2 linked regions of the Rattus norvegicus genome follow. The protein of the gene in region 1 binds, or shares a complex with, the protein of each later gene. Links are inferred from orthologs where the notes say so. Each region holds a gene or a part of one and is shown on either strand. Other genes may lie near its edges. The genes, in order: Yap1 and Smad1.

Evidence for each region.
Region 2: the proteins of Yap1 (region 1) and Smad1 are in contact, whole or in part, in an NMR structure (PDB 2LAW), measured with the Homo sapiens proteins. The link is inferred for Rattus norvegicus from reciprocal best matches to the Homo sapiens genes YAP1 and SMAD1. Residues at the interface, in NP_001123617.1 of Homo sapiens: Glu237, Ala239, Met240, Thr241, Tyr247, Ile249, Asn250, His251, Lys254, Thr255, Thr256, Trp258; in NP_001003688.1 of Homo sapiens: Thr222, Pro223, Pro224, Pro225, Ala226, Tyr227, Leu228, Pro229, Pro230, Glu231, Asp232, Pro233.

What each region holds. Positions count from the first base shown.
Region 1 is NC_086026.1:13,448,334-13,452,803, forward strand, and holds the start of Yap1 (transcriptional coactivator YAP1 2), read right to left. Parts: upstream 3,105-4,470; 5' UTR 2,892-3,104; coding exon 2,616-2,891; intron 350-2,615; coding exon 108-349; intron 1-107. UniProt on the Homo sapiens protein: Transcriptional regulator with dual roles as a coactivator and corepressor. Critical downstream regulatory target in the Hippo signaling pathway, crucial for organ size control and tumor suppression by restricting proliferation and promoting apoptosis.
Region 2 is NC_086037.1:45,469,493-45,473,307, reverse strand, and holds part of Smad1 (mothers against decapentaplegic homolog 1), read right to left. Parts: intron 2,935-3,815; coding exon 2,678-2,934; intron 1-2,677. UniProt on the Homo sapiens protein: Transcriptional modulator that plays a role in various cellular processes, including embryonic development, cell differentiation, and tissue homeostasis.

The sequences.
Region 1 (4,470 bases):
ATTTTTTGCAACAGCAAAGTAATAAATAATTGAATCATGTTTTGAAAAAGATAATAATACGAATAGTCATTCCGACATTGCCACCTCCCAGCAACATCCTCACTTACTTTAAGAAGTATCTCTGACCAGAAGAGGTCTTGGCCATCTCCCAGCCTGCTGGCAATGGTACATCATCAGGGATCTCAAAGGAAGACTGTCTGAGATGTTGAGCAGCAGGGGTGGCGGCCGGGCCAGAGACAACACCACTGGCCGTGAGTGTCCCGGCCCCCAGCTGCAGGGAGGCTGGAGACGAGTGAGCTCGAACGTGCTGGGGAGTCAGGGCTCCAGCAGTGCCCGCATCGGTACTGGCCTATGAGGAACAGCAAAGGAAAGTCAGCACAATGTAAATGTTACTTCACTGACGAACAGTCCATGTGAATTAATGTCTGCCCCCTAGACAGTGTGAAAACAAGGACTAGGCTAATAAGGTGACTTAGCAGCAGAGAACAATGATTACCCCATACAACCCAAAATAAATAAATCAGTAATTTTTCTAAGCAGTGTGGTTGCTTTTCCAGGTTCTAGAACAAAACCTGGAGATGACTGTGCACTTTTTCTTTGTTTTAAATATCTAATGTCCCCCCCATCTGTCACTTTGACTGTGAACAAATGTGATCAATAAATCAACCATTATAAATTATACGTTTAATGAATTCAGAGGCTCAGAACTGCACCAATGCTAAAAGCTCCCCAATGAAGAGAACAGGCCTAGAAAATAAAGACTTTATCAATTCAGTTTTAATTTGTGGATTCACACACAAATAACAGGGGGAGGGAGAAAGGAAAAATCTGCAAAGACCCCAATGATTCGAATTTGGGGTCTAGTCAGATCAATGTTAGACAGGTATCAGGAATGAACTTGTCTGTAAAGTAGTTTTTCCAAGCCAGAGGGGATATAAGAATTCTCAGGCAGGAGCCTATAGATGATTATTTACAAACTCAGATACATACTATTCATAATCTAATCCTTTTATTGGAACTAGGATTATCAAAACATTTGTTTTTCTAAATTAATTTTGATAAGAAGACTGAAGGGCCTCAGCAGTCATTTAAAGCCCCATAGCAAAAACCCCTGTTTTTGAGTTTCTAGGTAAGATTAAATTTTAGGAAATCATTAGCACATAGAAAAGGTGAATTTCTCTGAAAACGATAGAGAGAAGGCAAAAGTACCCACGAACGACCCAGTGGAACTAGGTACTGCATACTTTCCCGGGTACATTCCTTCTGACTGCTAAGTGCTACAAAATGGAGCGTTCAGTCTGGATATTCCTTCAAAGTTTCCCCGACCGTTTCTCAATTGCATGCCAACATACATTAGTTCAGTGAGTACAGAATCCCACTTGGGGGAGGGAGCAATGAATAGTATCTAGGTCTACTGTTGTTACAAATTAAGAGTTTATTTAGACTAGCAGCTACATAACTTTTCCTTCCTCCGTAAGTAGACTTTTTGTAGGAGGTTAATCGAGATTTTCGTGGCTCCAACAACCCGGTTCTACAGCAGGCCTGCCTAGGAGGGGGGCTGGAGTGGGGGCGGAAACTCTTCTTTCCACTCAAGTTACAGCCCGAGTGGGCTAACAACATGGCAGTGTTTGGAAAACCAATTAAGTTTTGGGCAAAGATCCTATACTGGTTTAGCCTAAAGCAAGTTCTTTAAAAATTAAGTAATTAAAAAGAGAAAGCGGGGAGGGGGGGGTTCGGGAGGGGAAAAAGACACTGAAGAAAAATCTACCAGGACCTATCGGAATGTTAATACTTTGAAACGGTTTCACTTCTGTGTTGGATCCAGTTGGGAAAATAACCAGGCGTCGTGGATGTGGATAAGCAGCCATGTTCACATCCGCAGTCAGTTAAAGAGCAATGGCGAGCCTGGAATTAGTCATTGCTTCCCAAACATTACCTTTAATCACAGTTGAGCCAGGCAGAACTCGGCCTATGAGTCAACCTGCAACGCGCTATCAAAGGCCAGCGCAGAAACCTCTGCACCGTGAGCGCGCCGAGCTCCTGCGCAACGCACAGACGTGGCTCATTTAAAAGCTTTCGGGCCGAACAGTAAATAATAGGTTACGATTGGGAAAGGGACACGTGAGCCCACCGAGTGTGAAAGGATCCCGCCCGCGCGAGTTCCAGGGTACCGCAGAGGCGAGCGGAGGACGAGGGAGCTCGGCCAACTCTCGGGATCGCCGGGGCAGGGGAGACCGAACCCTGCACCCGGACCGCGCCTGGGCCGCGAGAGCAGAAAAGCTTTCGGGAGAGGGAGGGGGAGGGGACGAGAAGGAACCAGAAACTCAATGGACCGGTTCAACCCCCACCCCTCACCGACACGGGAAAACAAGAGGGTAGTTAACGCGGCTCCACGGGACACTCCAGTGGAGCGGGAAGGGGAGACCGTGTACCCCAGGCCTGGAGTCCTGCACGGGACGCCGGGCCCCCTCCCCCCACCTCCCCTCCCCCATGGTCGGAGCGAAGGTGCGGAGCGGAGGCGCGCGCATTGTGCTGCCCCCGCGGCCGCCAACTCCGCGAAAACAACCCCCAGCCCAGCACCCCCACGCGGCCCCGGGCCCCCGCGTTGTCCTTACCTGTCGCGAGTGGGACTTGGGCTCAGGCGGCTTGAAGAAGGAGTCGGGCAGCTTGCGAAGCCTCATGGGCACGGTCTGTGGCACGTTGGCCGTCTTGGGGTTCATGACGGCGTTGAAAAGCGCTTCCAGGTCGGTCTCCGAGTCCCCGCGGACGTGCACGACCTGGTGACCCGCCGGGGGTGCGGGCGGGGCCGCGGGGGTCCCGGCCGGAGACACCGACGGCGGCGCGGGGCCTTGCGGGGCCGGCTGGGGCGGCGGCTGTTGCGCGGGCTCCATGGCTGCGGCCTCGTTCGACGCTCGGGGCGCTGCGCTCAGGTTCGGGGGGCTGCGTCGCGCGCCCGCATCGCCCTGCACTCCTTGCCCGAGGCCCCCTCCCCTCCCCTTCGTGAGCTCCTTCCTTCCTCCCTTTCTTTGCCCCGGGCCGCGGCGGCGTCCCAACTGAGACAGAAACTTCGGCTCTAGACGCCCAAACTAAAAAGTTGCGAGGAGCGCCCGCCCGCGCGCCTCGCGGGCTCCGCCTCCTCGTCGCTCTTCCTTCCTCTGCGCGCCCGCCCGCACCGAATCCGCGGGCCCCGGGAAACTTTCCCTGCGCGTCGTTACATTCCTGCAGACTCCCTGCCGCACGTGACCCGGAGGCGACCGCGCTGCGTGCGCACCCACCGGCCGGCCCGGAGCGGCGCGTCTGCGGGCGCAGACCCTGCCGGACCGGCGCGCAACGCCAAGGCCGCCAGAAATCCCGACAGCCCGCTGGGCAGGCTGGATGCAAAGGCGACGCTGTTCGCCTGCACTGATTTTAATCCGGTCCGCGTTTTAACATTGATTCCATTTACCACAAGTTGGAAGAAGAAACAACAAAACACTTGAGGGCGGGTGTAAATGATTACATAGTGAAGCTTGGAACCAGGAGTTGACTCAGAGTATCTAACAAAAAGAAGCATAGTATTACTTTTTTAAAAAGTTTTGTTTTAAGCAGGTTTAGCCCTGTAGCCAAGGATATCCTCCAACTCCGGACAATCTTCGTGCCACAACTTCCCGACTACTAGGATTCCCAAGTGAGGGCCTCTGCTAGCCCGGTTTTTGTAAATTCGTTCTCTTTCCTTTTCTATTCTTTCTTTTTTCTTTTCCTTTTCTTTCTCTTTCTTCCTTTCCTTCCTTCTTTCCTTCCTTTCTTCTTTCTAATTATATTGATTGAGTGAGCACACTTGCACAGGTGAAGGTCAGAGGGCAATTTTTGGGATCTGTTTTCTTCCTGACTGTGGGTCCCAGAAATCGAACTCAGGTACCCTGAGCCATCTCACTTGGAGCACTGACTGTCTTTCAACTCACTACATAACTGAGGCTGGCTTTAAATTTCCGCTCCCCCTACCTCAGCCTATAAAGGGATAGGATTACAAATGTGGGCAGCCTTGCTCAGCAAACCATTTTTTTAAGTGAAAAATCATGCCAATTTTTTAACATCAAGACTTGATATTTCACTGGGAACATCAACTCCAAACAAAAGTCACTGTTGAACTTGAAGGAGCATGTTGGTTTTCCTTCTTGTGCTTGGTACAAGGTTAGACAATGTGAAGAGAACAGGACACGAACCTCAATGGAGAGCACCTTAACCCCGTTCTCTGTGTGTCAGTCTTCTATCAGAAGCCTATTTGGAATAAAAAATGATAAAAATCTGTGTTTTTTAAGTTAATTATTGATATTGGGTGTTTTGCCTGACTATATATGTCTTTGCCTAGGTCTCACAGCGGCCGAAAGAGGGTGTTAGATTCTGTGGAATTGGAGTACAACTGGTTGTGAGAAGCTATGTAGTTGCAGGGATTCGAACCTGGATCCTCTTAGGAACCAGTACTTTTCGTGA
Region 2 (3,815 bases), on another chromosome or scaffold:
GTCAGTATTAAATTCTTTTATGTTCCATTACTAATAAAGCCACAGGAGGCCATATGCATCCTGATGCTAGAGGTTTTAGAAGTGTTTTTCCCCTCTTTGTATTCTTTTCAGAATAGTGGTAAAATATCTGCAGAAAGAATGAAGTCAATAAATTTTGAATTGCAGTTTTGGGCTGGAGAGATGTCTTAGCAGAGCACTTGCTGCCCCACCAGAGAACCTGAGTTTGGTTCCAGGCACCCGTGACTGCTCACAGTAGCTTATAACTCCTGCTACGAGAGCTCTGACACCCTCTGTGGCCTCCAGCAGCACACACACACGTTTTGGTCATAAATATACACACTGATATGAATAAAAAAAACTTTTAAATACCTTAGTGTAAATAAATGTTTTTAGTTGTACAAAAGTAACATTTAACTGTTAGTGTGATCAGTAGGAAACAGATGCCAAGGAGATAGCTTATTGGAGTCAAAACTTCTTCAAGAATTCAATAATCACAGCCCACCAAGGAACCTCAGGCACGGTTACCAAAGGCCCAGATCCATCCAGCCCTACAGACCATGAGGAGGTCTGAGAACAACCCATGTCTCCACCACAGTCCAAACACCCCCGCTCTCAAGGGTTCTTTCTTCCAAACAAAAACCACTTTGGCAAGAAGCTGGTCTCATTTTGTAAATCGCCTGAGCCAAAATGCTTGAGTCAAAAATTAAATGGTGCCTGTGAAAAATGAACAAGGACAGGCTCCGTGGTTGTATTTGCACACACTATACAGGTCAACTTCTTTAAGGGGTAAAAAAAGGCCTCCTTTAATATTAAAGAGGTGCCACATTCAGCTAAGGCGGGGAAGGGTGCCTTTGATCTGGGTGATGATGGGCAGAGCACAGCTCTGGAATCACCCGGTGATGAACCGCTAAACAGGCCCGGCGAGAAGTCACAGAGCTTTTGAAGACTGCACATGAAAGACGACTGCCTCGCCCAGGTTTGTAATTAGCGCTCTTCCTCAAGGTAAAGCGGGATAAAGACTTATCTTCGAGGCTTCAGAGACAAGGTGGTTGCTAGAATGTGCTGTCATCAGATGTGCCCTTTTTAAAAAACATTTCATTGGCATCAAAAAAATTTTTCAATTTTAGTGGCAGAAGAGGACTGAGGAGATATCTGTGATAAGCAATGACTCCTTTTTTTGATATCACACAATTCTCTTGGAACCAGGGCCTTGCTAACTTTTCAATTATACACAAAACACATAATTTACTAGAAATACATTTTAACGAAAAGCATCTGATCAACTAAAAAGAATTTCCAGTATAAATACATCTTTCACTATTTTTTTTTTACATCTATTTACTGCCCTCCCAGCCCTGTGTGTGTGTACATGTGGAGGTCAGAAAACAACCTGTAGGAGTTGGCTCTCTCTTTCTACCATGTGGGTCCCAGGAATCAAACTGCTGAAGGCACCTAAACGGTCATGCGCTGACCACAGATCCACAGCCAGTAGGCACCGGCATCCTGTGCATTCAGCCCACAGCCAGTAGGCACCGGCATCCTGTGCATTCAGCCCACAGCCAGTAGGCACCGGCATCCTGTGCATTCAGCCCACAGCCAGTAGGCACCAGCATCCTGTGAACTCAGAGCTAAGAGCAAAGAACAGGAGGAAGAAAGCTGATCTCACAGGACGGCCATGCATTTAAGCTACTTGTTGAATACATAGCATTCCCTATGCTATGACAGCAGCTATGGGGCTGGGGACATAGTGCAGTGGGGAGAGTACTGGCCTAGTGTCCCAGAGACCCCACAATGGGGCAATGGCAGCACACAGGTCAGGAAGCCTAGCCACTCTGGACACAGAGCTGACACACCTCCCCAGTGCCATCGACCCAGCTGCCTGGGCAATGTCAGACCCTCTCTCTAGCAACAGAGGTCTGACCAGGGCCAGCAAGATGGCTCAGCTGGGTAAAGGTGCCTGCCCCCAAGCCTGGGGATCTGAGTTCTATCCCTGGGACCCACACGGTGAGAGATTACATCGCTATGTTCCAAAGACAATTTTTTGGACACTGACCCTCTTGTAGAGGTTTGAAAAAGGAAGATACACCAAGAAGGCACAGATTCATATTCTGCGAGAGAGTGTGTACGTGTGTGGTGGAAGCATGTGCATGTGTGTATGCAGAGTGTTTGTGGTGGGGTAAGCATGTATGTGTGTGTGGGAGCATGTGTGTGTGTAATGGAGGGAGTGTGTATGTTTATGTGTGGAGTGTGTATGCGTGGTTGTGTGTGTGTGGTTGTGTGTGTGTGGTTGTGTGTGTGTAATGGAGGGAGTGTGTATGTTTGTGTGTGGTGGTGTGTCTGTGGTTCTGTGTGTGTGTGTGTGTGCAGCGTGTTTGTGGTGGGGGAAGCACAGATGTGTGTGTGAGCATCTGTGTGTAATGGAGGGAGTGTGTAAGTTTATGTGTGGAGTGTGTATGCGTGGTTGTGTGTGTGGTTTTGTGTGTAGAGTGTGTGGTTGTGTGTATGTTTGTGTGTGTGTGTGTGGTTGTATGTGTTGTTGTGTGGTTTTGTGTGTGTGTGGTGGTGTGTGTGTGGTTGTGTGTGCATGTGTGGGTGTATGTATGTTTGTGTGTATGTGTGTGGTTGTGTGTGCGTATGTGTGTATCCAGCCTGAATGAGATGGGTGGGCACTGCTCACCTTCACGAAGCTCATTCGAATAGTGCACATTTTGGTGAGTTCATACACTGTCTCGAACCCATGGTTCACAGACTGCGCCAGTAGCTGAGCGAACTCTTGGTTGTTGAAGATTTTCAAGCTGCACCCGCTGGGGATCTTGCAGACCGTGGTGGGATGAAAGCCATGGTGGTAGTTGCAGTTCCGACTCTGCACGAAGATGCTGCTGTCACTGAGGCACTCCGCATACACCTCTCCTCCGACGTAATAAAGGTGGACTCCTGTGAGAGACAGAGACAGACCGAGTCAGCCGGCTGTTATCTGGATGACAGGTGCCCTGGCAGTCAGGCTGGGCTGCTCTGACAAATCTCTGAGTTAACTATGCTACCCTTGTGTCAGTCAGCATGTTCAGGAAATAACAAAGTCTCTCAAAAATAATAAAGTATAACACTTTCATTTCAGTAAGTATTTAATGTCCCACTTGGCCAGGGTTGAAAGTATATCTGTGCTCTAAAAATAGAGTGCAGTAGGACCTAGAGTTCACTGGGGCATCCTGTGTGTTTAAAGTCCCCTGCATTTATGCCAGGGCTAAATTGTTCAGAAAACTTCAGAGAGATGGAAGCGATGATCAGTAAACACGGAGGGATGAAACCCGGGAGGAAGAAGTCCTACTGGGGGCTGAAAGGTGGGAGGTCCAGCTAAAAACAAAAGCTTCAGAAATAGGAAAAAAGGCGCGCGCGCGCGTGTGTGTGAAATAGAAGCTCACCAAAATAACCACTACAAACAATGCCTGAAAACGTCTCCCAGCTTAGAATGAATGCCAGCACCCCACCTTGAAGGTGGGGAGGAGGGCTCAGCGGCCTGAATCCTTTCCTGCTGAAGGTGGGGGAATCAATCCTGCAAAGCTGCCCTCTGGATGCCACGTGACTCCCGTCACACAGGAAGTGATTAAAAACAGGGAGAAGGAAAGCCCTCAAAGCCTCCGAGGGGGAACAAGCACCCAGCAAAAGTGGTGTGGCTCCAAACCTTGTCCATGCCTGGGGCACGGCGCTACCGTGACTGTCCGAGGAAACGCCATGCGGCATCTCTACCGATACATAGGGCTAGAAAACTACGGAAAAGAAAAGAAACTTTCTTCCTGGTAATAAAGATGACTTCTCAT